Linked DNA regions of Rhinolophus ferrumequinum. The protein of the gene in region 1 interacts with the protein of each later gene in a pairwise test. Links are inferred from orthologs where the notes say so. Each region holds a gene or a part of one and is shown on either strand. Other genes may lie near its edges.

The links. The genes of interacting proteins can lie anywhere in the genome.
Region 2: the proteins of NFYC (region 1) and DR1 interact in binary tests that used the Homo sapiens proteins (3 or more experiments, as listed by UniProt). The link is inferred for Rhinolophus ferrumequinum from reciprocal best matches to the Homo sapiens genes NFYC and DR1.

The regions. Positions count from the first base shown.
Region 1 is NC_046292.1:28,481,819-28,489,308, reverse strand, and holds the start of NFYC (nuclear transcription factor Y subunit gamma), read right to left. Parts: upstream 3,087-7,490; 5' UTR 3,017-3,086; coding exon 2,944-3,016; intron 1-2,943. UniProt on the Homo sapiens protein: Component of the sequence-specific heterotrimeric transcription factor (NF-Y) which specifically recognizes a 5'-CCAAT-3' box motif found in the promoters of its target genes.
Region 2 is NC_046292.1:70,528,110-70,535,083, forward strand, and holds the start of DR1 (protein Dr1), read left to right. Parts: upstream 1-3,928; 5' UTR 3,929-4,651; coding exon 4,652-4,871; intron 4,872-6,974. UniProt on the Homo sapiens protein: The association of the DR1/DRAP1 heterodimer with TBP results in a functional repression of both activated and basal transcription of class II genes.

The DNA.
Region 1 (7,490 bases):
TAACAAGCGTTTCAAAAAAATCGGCATTCCCATAACATCTTATTCCAAGAGGACCCTAATTTTTGACAAAGGGGTTAAAATTCTTTCATAGGAATCTTGGTAAGGGAAGTTCAATAGTCTCAATGTATGCATTACATAGAGTCATGTCAACATAAACAGGAATATGCAGGTGAAGGCACGTGGAACCAGTTTAAAAGAGAAGTACTGACAAACTCCTTTATAGGTGTATTAAAATACTGGCATTTTTTTTCCTTTGATGCCACATCTATCTTCATAAGCAATTAACCAACCCCAACAGTTTGGATTAGTAACAACTAACCTTTACGTTGCACTTCACAATTTGCAAAGCACTCTGACATACATGATCTCATCCGAGACACTACTAAATAGGAAGGTGCTATTTTTAGGTCCCATTTTTACATGTGAGGAAGCTGACACTAAATGGCTGACTTGCCCAAGCTCACAAAGCTGGTGATAGCTATGTGGGACCTGAACACAAGCCTCCTGACTTTAAATTGCCTGCTTCTGCTACTGCACCATGCTGCTTCAAATACTGTAATCAGAGCAAATAAATGCCCAAATTTCAGACCCCATCTAAGCATCCCCCTCCCACACACAGCCACCCCTAGTCTAAGTTATAGTTAGCTCTAAAAGGTCTTTGCTCCTTATGGAAGTAGAGTTTAGAGTTTTCACTTCTCTGGCAAACATTTACCTGGCTAAAGTATAAATGAAGAGATCATATAAACACCATTCTACATATACTGTAAAATATCTTAGTCACCAGGGGTACAGGCATGCCGATGTGCATTTTCCAGACAGTGGGTCAGATTCTCAGAGGACATGACCCTAAAAAGGTTAAGAACCCAGGCCAGAGACAGTGGCTAGGTATCTTTCCAAGAAGCTAAATCCACCAAGTTCTTAATATAAAGCGTTCTATCTAGGCCTCCAACTGTGCCCCACTTACCTCTGCCTCCCCTCTCCAGGCCTTCTCCGGGACCAATAGGGTCATTCAGAATCTATAACTGTTTTTAAATAATATATAAAACCTGAAGCAGCTGACAACATATAAATCAATGACTTGTAAAAATAAAGTTAAATTAAAATAATTACCTGTTTAAATGTAATCCTTAATACAAACTCCTTTCTCCTGTAACATAACTTCCCAGAATGACTGTTTTCTTACCATAAGCATTCCAATTTCCCAAAAGAAGTTTCACAAACGTAACTACTTTGAACTCCTGAAATACCATTCTTCACTAAGAACTCTCTAGATTACACAGAAGACAAGGTAGCATGCAAGGAATTCTGAATCTGTTAGGCAGTTCACTCAACTATCATACCACAAGGATTTAGAATTTTTTGCTGGGGGGGAGGGTACGGAGAAGAGTAGGAGAAAATGAATACAGCCCTATTGTCTTATTGCTTGAAAACTCCCAATTTGAATCTGTAACATAGTCCTACTAACCACTCAACTTGGACATCAGAAGTACAGTCTCTTTTCATCTTAAATAGAGCTTTTCAGTCCAAATCTGTATAAACAAACTTTGTCCTTCAATCTTTCCACTCCTCGGCAGTTTTTCAAGGTCACTTTTGCAAGCAACGACAGAGGCCTGCATCTAGCAACTTTGACTGCTCCACCATTCCAATTCTAAGAGTCCAAAATCTAAACCCCTATCGATCCTCTCAGGTAAATCCTTTACTCCAGAGGAAGCGAGGTGAAGGCAAATCAACACCCTCCAAACTTCTCCTCTAAGAGGGCCTGCTCCTGTTCCCTACCCAGAGGAACAGTGTAAGTGCTGCTGGCTCAGGGCTCCACACTGAGTCTGCAGCAGAAATGTTCCAATGACCTTCATTCCATACTTGCAAATAAAAAGAAAACAAAGAATTGCTTTTTAAAATCAAGTGTATCATAGCTCTTTAGTGCCCGGGATGGAAGATTTCACTATTCACAAGAACGGCTCGTTATTGATTAGCAACCTGCATTAGCTTCATATCCTAAAGAGGAAAAAAAATACCAAGGGCAAAAGACAGGGTAGGGTGCCTATAAACTTTCCTATTCACAAACTGCAGGTAAATTAGGATTTAAATATTTCATACAGAAAATGAAAAGCGTTTTGCTCACATTAAAGAACCAAATCAACACCTGACAAAATGTGTGAAATTGGTGGAAAAAGATGTGCTCTTGTCCCTGCCAATATAGTGAAGAAGTGTGTTTCTAAACAGCATTCTATGCTAAAATGTGCATTTTCAAACAAAGATAGTTACTTAATTAATTGGTACTTATTAGAATATAGAAGCAGACAGGTAATTGAGAAAGTTAAGGGAGAATTTCACATTGGCATGTGGGCCTTCACCATTACAACCTGCATCAGTGCAAATCATATTTTAACACAAATTTAGAACAGCGATAGTGTTGCTTCTACCTCTGAAAACACAGATGTCAACAAAGTGCATGGAAATAGAAAAAGTCTTACAACTACTCAGCTTATTCTGTAGGAAAGCTTCAGTGCACTTGAACAAAGGAAAATTATTTGGAAAACAGTTAAGTTTACCCAATGCAAAGAGAAAGTGCTTTGCTTCTGTGTGTCCCTGGAAAATGATTAGCCTTTCTTCATGTACCTGATCTTGCCGATACTCAACTAGGAAAAGAAATCCTAGTTGAAGGGCATGCAAAATCTACAGAGCAAGGTATTCTAGGTGCACCAAAAGGTATGCATGGAATGTAAAGTGGCCATTTTCTGAAACAGTGCAACTTGTCTACACTCTCTGAAGCTAAACAGTTTCTACCATTTTAACACAAAACAAAGAATTAAACTTACCGGGAACTGCATTAATTTTACATGTAGTTATTTATATCTCCTCGGACAGGGAGAATTTAAGTCACTCCTATCCCTCCCCCCCAAAAGGACGGAGGAAACAAAAGGCAGCAGGAGATGCAGAAACCTGAGTCTGGAATGTCCACTCCAGTGAAAACCCGAACAGCTGTCCCCCCACCCCCCAGCAAACTATTCGCCATTTTTCTTTGTCTTTCAGCTGACCCCTGCCTCAGTGAAAAACTCCGAGGCTCCAATGAAGCCCTGCAGCCTCCTTCCACTTTAACAGTCAAAGGCATTCAATCTAACATGCTATTTGACACCAAACCTTGCCTCCAGAATGCTCCCATTGGCTGAGCTGCTTCATCGGCTAAGAATACAAAGCCACGATTGGCTGTTCACGTCATCAGTTACCTCCTTTGTACACTTCCTGTTTTAAAGTTACCTTGAGAAGCAGAACAGGGGTCAGATTCAGACTTCAAACTACAGGGAACTTAAGGCTTGGAAATGCCTGGCAAATGCACAGAGCAGATGCGTTAGGGCCCCATGCGTTTACAAAACAGAGGATATTGCAAATCCAGAATTGTTTTTAAAATCACACGAAAGGGTTGTTACAGTTCCCACCCAAAGCATTTCTTATTGGCTGTCAGAGTTCCATTTAAAAAATTTAAGGTAATTTAACTGCTTCTGATTGGCCATCAAAGATGTCTGTAAGATATTACTACAGTATCCTATGGCAGTAAACCAGAGAAGCAATGTGCACAAGGTCGGAAAGTTGTGACTTCTATCTTCAGTTTTCTGTCGTGCATTAACAGAAGAAAACAAAGAAAATGGGGTAGGATGATCCAATGGTTCCGAAGAAAATGCAGCTTCTTTAACAGTACCAAAGAGTGGTATCAATGGCCATACAAAAGTTTGCAGGATTTCTAAAAAGGTATCTGTCATTGTGTCCATGTTAATTTTAAAAGCACGTACGTATTTATACCAGGCAAATCACTTTATTTTGAAATACAAACTGATCTAAATGGGAAAATTCTGGGGTAATGTATGAAGTTAGTGACAGAAAGAGTGGCATTCCCAAAAAGTCTACCAGGAACCCAAGAGGAAAATATAATGAAGGGGGGGAGGGTGGAAATGGCAAAGATAGAGCATCAGTGAATATAGTGTTTAAAGCACATTTTAGTTTGATGGATTAACTAATTTATTTAGGGCGGCCACAAAATGTTGCTGACTAGTTTCCGATAGAAGATCAATTTTTCTACCACATTTTCAAGAATAAGCAGCAGGGTCGATCTCAGCCTGAGATATTGTAAATACCAGTATCCCCTGCTTTTCGAAAGTTCGCTTTACGACTTTGCTTTTACAAAAGACCTACTACATTAGTACCTGTTTTCATAACCAAAAGAAATCCGAAAAGGATTTTCGCTTTTATGAAAAAATGTGAAAAGCAAAAACAGCGGTCAGCGTTTGTTTTGCAGCGAGCACCTGAGCAGCAAGAATGACACCACCAAGCTCCTTCCCCAGGAACTACACTCAGCATCTCAGCATCCACCCACCATAGCTCTGAAATGCGTCTGTGAGCAGCTGTGCTTTATCTCGATTTATTTTGTACGTCTGTTAGCAAGATGTGTCCTAAGGTGATTGCGTCTTCACTTTATGCCATTTCAGCTTACAAAGGTTTCATAATAATGAGCTACTTTTGGATAGTGGGGGAAACCTGTAGTATTGTGGTTACTGAAGACACTCCAGTGTTGGTTGAAGATCTCCTTCCGGATTTTGGGCCCAATTGTTTAGGTTCCCCACCATCACCACCACTAACTGTTTAGGTTTTAAGAGGAGCCTACTAATATGGTGAAAATCAGTCAACATGCCTTTTTTCTTTTCTTTTCCACAAAATATTCAAATAGAAATGTCTCACTATTATCTGGGGCCTTTAACAATCTCCTAGATCTGCATCCGCCCATCAAAGCTAAGGGTCCCAAGACTAAACATAACTCTTCTGCCAAGTACATGACCACTTTTCTAGAAATACCTTGGTTCATCTCACATGACGGGTCATCATGGGCATATGCAGCGATTTGGCAGAGCCCTGAAATGTAAGCAAGGCGGTCTGTCTGATCACTTTGCCGTATTAACTTCTCTACACGCACTCTACTCATTTCCCACATTGAAATGAAAATAATTTCTAAACACCAATCAGTGCTAGGTTCTGTGCTAGGTACTTTACCCCTCTAATCTTCACTATCCCCTTTTAACATGTGAGAAACAGTGAGGTTCAAAGAAGTTAAACAACCAGCCCCTAGCCATACCAGCACATCTAGGATGCAAACTCAGGTCCCATAGGGTAGAACTCTTTCCACTGCACCACAATGCTTACCAAAACATGGAGCACCTCAGGGCACACCCAAGGAAATTCTTAGGTGTCACATGTATGTACAGATAGCATAAACCATTATACCCAACTTCATTAATTTAAAAATCAGAAATGTGACTAATGTTGAATTTGATCTTTTGATTAGAGACCTAGATAAGTATCTGAAAATAACAGAGCCTGTAAGTTGACACAAATTTTATTACTCAGCTATTAGGAACATTTAACCAGTAGCAAATCACATTTCTAAGGACTTGAAATAACTAACAACTAAACCATTAAAAACAGTATACATTAAAATATTAAGGGATTGCATGGCAATTTCACTATGGCATCTAAGTAAGAGTCTAGTTAGGCTAACAGGGTGTGTCGTGGGGCAATTCCTGAAGCTGCAGAGTTGCAGGTATTGTAAGTTCTCTTCTTGAAAGTTTAGACCACAGATTCTGAGACGAGACAGCAGAAGGCCAACAGGCCAGTTGTGTGCCATATCCACACTAGAGCCTCTTTTAAACCCCAACACACTGGGGTCAAGTCAGCTGCCAGGAAGCAAAGAAGCTCATGTGAGGAGTGGGAGGCAGAGGAAGAGGAAGAACATTTTCACATCACTATTAATCAGTGTCCCAACGGCAAAACAACTAAGCACTGGGGAGTCGGGCAACGCGAGTTTCAAACTCTGACTCCTCTACTTATCAATTAATTGTATGACGCTGGACTAACCCTGAGACTCAGTTTCCTCACCTGTAATATCTGGATATCCCCATCTATATCACAGAGCCACTGTAAGAATTAAATGAGCTAATAACATATGTAAAGTATATTGTACTGAACAAGCACTGAAAAAAAGTACTAAAAAGCATCCAAGCCAAATTCCTTCCACAGGCTTAGTTCAGAGAGACCTATCTCCTTAAGGTCCTAAAGCTACTATGAGGGAATGTCTCTCTTTTATCTGCAGCATACTCTGCAACCCTGCATAAAGCAACTCCTGAGCCACAAAGGGCCATGTGGGAGGACTACCAGCTGCTACTAAAAATCCTCCCCAGTTTTTATGTCAGAAATCCATGCCTTTCACCACCAATCCTGGCTGAGGTCTGCTTATTGTTCCAAAAACCTACCCTTCTACTCTGCTTTTGATGTAGCAGATTAAACCAAACATGTCTCCTCACACTGTGAAGATCTTTGACATAGTTTTTATTAATTCTTGGCAGTTTGCACACACACACACAAAAACTACAACAAACCCACTTCAACTGCTATTTTTCATCAAAAGTCACCTTAATAGAATAGTGCGGAGAGACCTCAAATCATCCTAGGACTTCCATTGGCAGCCTGACCCATTCACGTACTAGAGCTTTTCCTTCTCTAGCCTGTCATTACTGTCAACTGAGCGCCTCATGAGATCTCTGGGATTCCAACTCACATTCTCTCCTGGTCCTGGATCTCAGCAGCCCTCTATACCAGGTCAGTGCATCGTCTTCCCCTAAAACACACCCAGATCACTATGAGACAAAACCATGGTTCAAGCTTTAATGCTCTCAAAGAATGCAAGGTGGGAACTGACGCTCTTAGTCAGAAAACTGATTATGAATCAGCTACCTATTTACTAGCCGTACGACCTTGGTCAAGTTACTTAACTGTCTCTGAGCTCACTTCTTCATGTGCAAAATGGAAAAAAAGCACCAACTCACATGAGTGTTGAGGCTTAAATGAGATAAGTTAAAGCATTCAGCATTAATACCTGGTATGTGATAGGTACTCAATTAATACCTAAATATACATTTGACTCTAGCACTTATCACATATAGTTACTTTTTACCATGTCTCTATTAACAGAGGAGGACATCTTGAAGGCAACGACTGTGTCTTGTTTATATCCACAAAAATCCCTAGTGCTCAGTACAGAGATAGAAATTAAAACCCAGCCTTAAGCAATGTCAAGAAAATAATAGGGTGTAGTGGGGAATTGAGGAAAACTGGCGAGTGCATGCATCTAAAGGGCAGCTACTGCTCAGCTCCAATGGACAAGGGCCATGGAGGAACGCTGGGCCACTCAAGGAAGAGTTTCAGGTTGAATAAAAGAAGCAAAAGCCAGATAGATCCCGGACACAAAATCTGATGCTCGAACAGCTTCTGATCTGGCAGCCTAAGGAACGACTGAGGGACCAGAGGGTGGTCTCAACCACCATGACGATTCCTGTCAAGGACAGGGTCTTGCTCAATAACCCAAGATTACCTGATCTTGGAGATTACGCTCTATCCCAGCAGAAGCAAAAATAGCAGCAAAGAAACTGGGTTCTTCAGTGATCTGA
Region 2 (6,974 bases), about 42 Mb from region 1:
CTCCTGTGTGCCAGGCACTGTAACAGGGAACTAGAGAAACAAGGTTAAATGGGAAGTTTCTCTAGGTTACTTGATTTTTCCAAGTTATACGATGTACTTTTGTGTTTCTTCTTCAGCTGCACACTCTCTCCTTTTCTATCAAAATTCTACTCAATCCACAAGGCTCAGTTAAAATGTTGAGTCCTCTCTAAAGCCCTCTGTACCTCACAAGTGGTTTGTGAATTTCTCCTTCCTCTGCACACTCTTAGCTTACATGTTTATCACAGTATTTTATTTCAATCTGTTTTATACTGTGATTCTCCCAATAGGTTGTGGGGTCCTTGAATACAAGAAGGATGTTATATTTATCTTTCTCTCTCCTGTACCATACTTAGGACAGTAGACACTCAGGTGTTGAATGAATGTAGGAATCAGATGCTGTCTTCCCTTTCTACTGCCTCCAAGATATCATTTCCTTAAATGCCTACTATTGCCTCAAATCAAAACATGTCCAAAAGCAAGCACTTCTCCTCTAAAGCTCCCGTTCAATATTGCTGTTTTTGACACTACCCTAATTCCAGTTTCTGAGGCTAAAAATCTTATATTTGATTAGTCTGTTTCCTTGACTATCTAAGAGCCAAACTATCAGGTTCTTCCAACTCTTGCTGTGAAATAGTTCTTGGAATCACCTTTCTTTTCAATCCCATTATTCCATTCCTAGCAGTAATAATCATCAGTGTAATGATTATTTTTTAGCAACTACCACTATTTATTTAGCATTAAAATTCTGGCCTAAATGCTTTGCATATATTATTTCATTTGAGATTTAAAACATCTGTGAAGCATGTATTCTTATTTTATAGAGGAGAAAAATCAAGATACAGCTTAAATACCCTGCCCAAGTTAGTTAAGTGGCAGAATGGGAATCAAACCCAGATCTGAAGCCAAAGATATTGAATGAGTTGGGCTCTCTCAAGTTGTAAAGAATAAAAATGGAATTTTTAGCAGAGTATTATGAAGATGCACAGAAAGAAGCACAGAAAACTGTTTCATGGAGGCGTATTGTCTCTTTCAAAAGAGTACACCAACATTCTAGCGATCCATTTATTTTGTTGGTCTTTCTGACATAATTATTTGAAGCCTAAAACTTCTGCCCCTGCTTCTACTGCCCTTTTTACAAGTGAGTTCTCTCTCTTCTCCCTCTCTAGTTCTCAGCTTCTATTACCTCACGACTTCTGCTGCCTCATGTGTTTGGCTCTCTCTCACTAAACAAAAATGCTTTACTTCAATTAAAGTGATCTCTTTACTGTTCTCACCATTTCTGTCTACACAACTTCGTATCATTACTTTGAACACAAATACTTTTTTCCTCTTTCTCCACCTGTCAAAAGCCTGTATTTCAAGGCTCCTTCATTACTTCCTTTTAACAGTTCCAATGGATTCTTGAGTGATTACTGTGTGGTAAGTCCTCTTGCTGACTCAGGATGAACCCAGAAAATGAGCAAGAAAATAAACCTTTTGAGATTCTTGCAACATAATTTAGCCTATCCCAATTGCTATACTGACTTCAGGGAAGTTATTTAGCTTCTCCCAGCTTCACTTTCTTTATCTGTAAAATGGAGACTGAAACAGTATCTATAAGATAAGGTTGTTCTGAGGATTAAATGAAATGATAAAGGTAAAAGTACTTAGGTAAAAGTACTTAGCACAGTGCCAATCACAAAAGAAGCATGTAACACATGATATTTTTTAAATTTGTATTACCAACAACTAGCCATTGGTGTGTTAGCAATGACAAATTAGCACAAAGGATAGCATTATTTGCTTTTTTAAAATGTAAAGCTTCAAATTACAAACGTTATAGATTGTAATTTTAGCTGAAAATCCAGGCATCTATGAATTAACACATTTTAAGATAACTACTGTAGAGTTAGCCTAATTCACCATACAAAACAGCTGTTTCTTTTCATATCATGAATTTTGGAATACCATGAGAAAAATAATGTTTCATATATATGCACTAAAAGTCTTAAAGCTCATTGTTATCCTTCTTTTCAAAAGCCTATTTATAATAAGGATCTATTGTACTGTAAATAACTGTGGGATCCAGATTAGCATATTTCATGTGCCACACGATTTATATTTAGTTAAATTTTCTCTCAGCCATATTATGTATGGTTTATTAATAGTTGAAGACCGCTCAGACCTGATAAAGATAATAATAAACACCAACATCTAAATACTGCATAATGTTAAAAGCGCTTTTACATATGGTCTCATTTGACTTTGAATCCTGAGTTATAATTCCATTTCTAGTTGAAGAAAATGGGGCTTGGAGAGTGACCTGTCTAAAGTAACAAAAAACTGGGACTGGAACCTAGGTCTCTACTACACATTTCATGCTTATGCTACCACAGAACCCTGTAGTAATAAACTATTACTGGAATAACATGTGTGCTCTTCAGATGTACGTATGTATCATAAGCCTATTGTTCTACATTGTATAAACGTTACATAAAAAAGCAAAATTATTTTTTCAGGAATGACAAGATTTGGGTCAGTGACAAATGTGATAACTGGGGACATGTTTGCTAGCTTTTTTCAGTCGGATAAACTTGGTGAGGCCAAGATGAATTTAGACAGCATAGTAACTCTTGAAACCAACAGTCTTGTAAACTGACTTACATAAACACTTCATAAAGGGCCAACAACTGAGCCAACAGTTTCACATTCTTATTTTGAAGAAAATTGTCAAATACATTGTTTTATCAAAGAAGTTTTGGTTTGGCTAAACTTAATTGCATTGAAAACCCAGCGTCTGCACTTCAGAAATGAAAGAACTGGCAAGTGTGCTGGAGAAAATGCTAAATGAAAAAAAATATCTAGGGTCTTTCTTAAATAAAACGTTTTAAGAGTACATTTCAAACAAGCCAGTTGCTGTCCAATGTATCAAGAACAATGTATTTGATTAACTAAAGTGCCAAAACAGATTTAAATGGTATCTCGTTTACTTTTTAGAAATTGCAACAACCATTTATAACACAGACTCTTCTAACAAATGACAGTATGAAAAACTTAGCTTTTTAAAAAATAGTGCAATTTTTATGAAGAACTTGACACACGTTGATGTTACTAGTTACCCTGGAGAGCAAAAATCAGAGCTGCTTAAGACACTGTAACATACTCCCCCCCTCCCCCGTCTCCCCACCGCCCCCCCCCCCCGTTTCTTCAGAAGGCAACGTGCAATACACCATGAAAAATTGCTAAGTTGGAACCTCTTAATGCTACGCATTTCCACTACGTTGGATCTTATTTCTCGTTTCCGGTTTAGCCATTAGTAGTGACTGGGAGGTCATGTCACTTCTCAGCATGTTTTGTTTCTCATAAAACGAGAAACTGGGTGGAGGACCAAAAAGAGCTTTGATCCGAATAACGTCTATTAGGTATCAAAAGGTTTTCCTCCGGACTGTGCAGACACAGGAACACCGGCTTCTGATTTTCTCATATCCTATTCCCGAGCCCAGACCTCGTTCCTCTTCTAGCCCAGTTCGGGCTCCTTTAAGGAACAGCAAAGAGAGTTCTTTTAATAAAAGCCAGCATTCCTTTGTCCCTGAACATAGCTGGGAAAGGCTTTCGAAGCCTCAGCTGGTTGAGACCGTAGAGGCGATCCAACCTCGCCGGCGCACCCACCCACTCCATCCCGAGTCTGGCGCCGCAGCCCAGAGCGAGCACGTACTCGGGGTTCTCCGGTACTGTGGGGCGCGCGCTCGCCCTGCTACGGTCCCCATGAAGGAGGGGGGGGATGCCCGGGCGCGTGCCAGGACCGCGGCTGGCGGAAGCGGGGGGCCGCGGGGCCGGGAGGTTCCTGCTGGCGCGGGTGGGGGAAGGGCAATAGCCACACCCGGAACTCGGTGGGGAAGGAGGGAGGGGGGGTGAAGCTTCCGGTAGCGCAAAGGGTGTCGGGAGAAGCTTCCCACAAACCTTCTTCCCTGGCCTCTGGAGGGACCACCGTTGCCGCGGCTTCGGCTTCCACGATCAGCGTTCGGGCTAAACGACCGCGGCGGCCGCCAGTGCTGCTTCCCTTGTGTCTGGCCCTGTCCGTATTCGTTCCCAGGCGGCCGCCCAAGTTCCAGCAGCGGCCGCGGCCGACATGTTGTGAGGCAGCGGCGTGGGTGTCTGAAGGATGGTTTGGCTGAGGCGGCGGCAACGGCTGCTGGCGGCTGCGGCGGCGGCAGCTGGGGCTCCGGCTCTGTAGAGCCAAGCCCACTGGGTGTCCGCCCAGTATACCTCAGCGAGGCCAGTGTCCCTGAACCTTGCCGCTGCTCCGGCACCTTTGGGGACCGGTTGGGCGACAGCGCCCGCCCCTCTGAGGAGACACGAAGGTGTTCCCTGGTGTTCAAATTTCCTGACCACCTTTCTTTTCCTGCCCGCCCTGGGGCAGAATTCTCAGCCCCGCGACTTTCCTCCGAACCTCGCCCTAAATCTGACTGACACACGCTGTGTTCCCTGCCCTCTGGTGCCAACCCTCGCCCCCCCTTCATTTTCTGCCCCCTCTTCTCGTAGAGCCCCCGGGATCACTCTCCGAGGGCGGCCTTTTGAAAAATCTTTGTGGAGTAGTGGACCAGAACTGGGGAGTTCTTAAAAGTCGGGGCGAGAGACATAGGAAGATACGATGGCTTCCTCATCTGGCAACGATGATGATCTCACTATACCCAGAGCTGCTATCAATAAGATGATCAAAGAGACTCTCCCCAATGTCCGGGTGGCCAACGATGCCCGGGAGCTGGTGGTGAACTGCTGTACTGAATTCATTCACCTTATATCTTCTGAAGCCAATGAGATTTGCAACAAATCTGAAAAGAAGACCATCTCGCCAGAGCATGTCATACAAGGTAAGTGTTACGTGTGGGATTTTGTTTAAGTGAAGGTCCGGGGACAGCCTGCTAGTCGCGTGACTCATTCATGTCAAAGCCTTCATTCCTCTCCTCTGATCAGTACTGGAAAATGAAAAAGCCACGCGGGCATGGAGGCAGCGGGTGCCTTCAACAAATTCCTATGTAGTATGCTCGTGGTACTTTTCACCAGCCAATACAAGTAAGGATTGCGAGCATTTAGGTCAGCTAACATCCCCCAAAGGTAAAGTATTAGCAGTCGTTTCAATTTACAGCCAGGTAAGCCGAAGCAACAAGGATTTTGCCTGCCTAAAGAGGAACCTATACATGACAACTGAGAAATTGAAACGTAGATCAGAACATCTGAGAAAGGAATCCAAAAGTACTCCCTTGGAAAATTAAAATTCAGACAGGAAATTCAAGTATGAACAGAGACAGCACCCCTTCCGCACCCGATCTCTTCACCAATGTAGAGAACAAGATGAGTTTTCTGACCACCTGAGTAAAAAAAAAACTTTAACAGGAGTGTGTTCAACGTTTTCAAGTTTGTTGGTGTTGAGTAGAGTCTATTTTCTGCGTTAAAAATGGTTTAATGGTCCAACCGTTCATCCACAAGTTACCAAAGCACTCCAGTTCTATTCTGTAAGAAAAGGGTGAATGTCCTTTTCTTTTCCCCTCTCTCCCATCCTTCTTTCTCTTTTTCTTCTGTGTAGCTCCCTTTGTTCTATGGAGATAAATTTTTAAAGCCTGGTTTAAGAGATTGTAAGAGGTGTTTTTCATGGAACATTTCCCTGTTCTTTCCTGCCCCCATTCCCATTTAGATGTTCACACTCAAGCTTTTATTGAACAGCACTTCTGAAAGTTGCAACAGTTTTTTTCTATCTTTGGAAAGGATTTAGTTCAGTAATAGGGATTTGGGAGACCGTATTCTGATGGTGTGTTTCAAGGATGGGGAGACATATTTACTAGTCACAATATTTCGGGAAGCACATACACCATTATGAAAAAATTGCACTCAATTTGAGGTTATAACTTGCCTTTTATAATAATCCAATTAAAAATCTATCAATTTCTTGATTGCTTTTGAAGTCAGAAAAAAATCATGGTTAATTTTAATCATTTGAGTAGGCTGGTGGTTGTCTACCATTTGATTTTTATAACTTAACTTTTTAAAAGCTGACTTTCCTGTTATTCTGAAGTAGAGAATACATCTGCTCATATTCACCATATCCAATATTTTACTGTCAATATTGACGGAAGGATTAAATGATTCATTTTTGATCTTGAATGATGTGTGGAAGGCAGATATAAATTATACTCTGCCATTTCCATTTCAGTACATAAGGAAAAAAATAAGCCCCTAGGAAAAAGCATGTTTAATTTTAAAGCTACCATTTTTTTCTACTTGTTTGGTATGCTGCATACCCTGGCAAGTAAAATGAAAGCCAAGTTGTCTATTTTTCCTGTGGTGTTTTTTTATTTTCACGTTATATGTTCAATTGTTGTCATAAGTCTTTCTCAAGATTATCCAACACAGATAGCTATAATTTCCTTTTACAACTCATAAAAAAGAAAAAGGATCTTTTATCAACATTGCCTTTTACTGCAAATTGCAAAAGATTTCTAAAGGATCTGCCTAAACATTTGTTTACACCACAGAAGTGGGTATCATTCCAAAAATCTAATAACACATACAATCTGTCTTCTTGGGTAGAGTTTATTCTTTTCTAGGATATATTTAGATTTCTGATTGACATGATGGAATAAAAGTGCAGCTGTAGCAAGCAGTATGCTAAATGCCTCAACTTTGGAATATGCTAAATTCAGTTTAACAACTAGGAAAGTTCCAGTGAAAGCATTTTCCTTTGTGTACTAAGTATGATTTATTAATTTTAAAAAATCATGTATTGACCTGTTATAGTCTAATAAATTTACCTTTTTTTCTTGTAGTATTGATATTAAGTGGATGAAGACCTACCATTTTTGCCCCAAATTTTCCCGTTAGGGGAATAGATTTTATGCATACACATAATCTCATATTACTCTCATATTGCTTAATTATTTTAAAGATTTTTTTTTGTCTTGAGTGGTTAAAAATTTTTT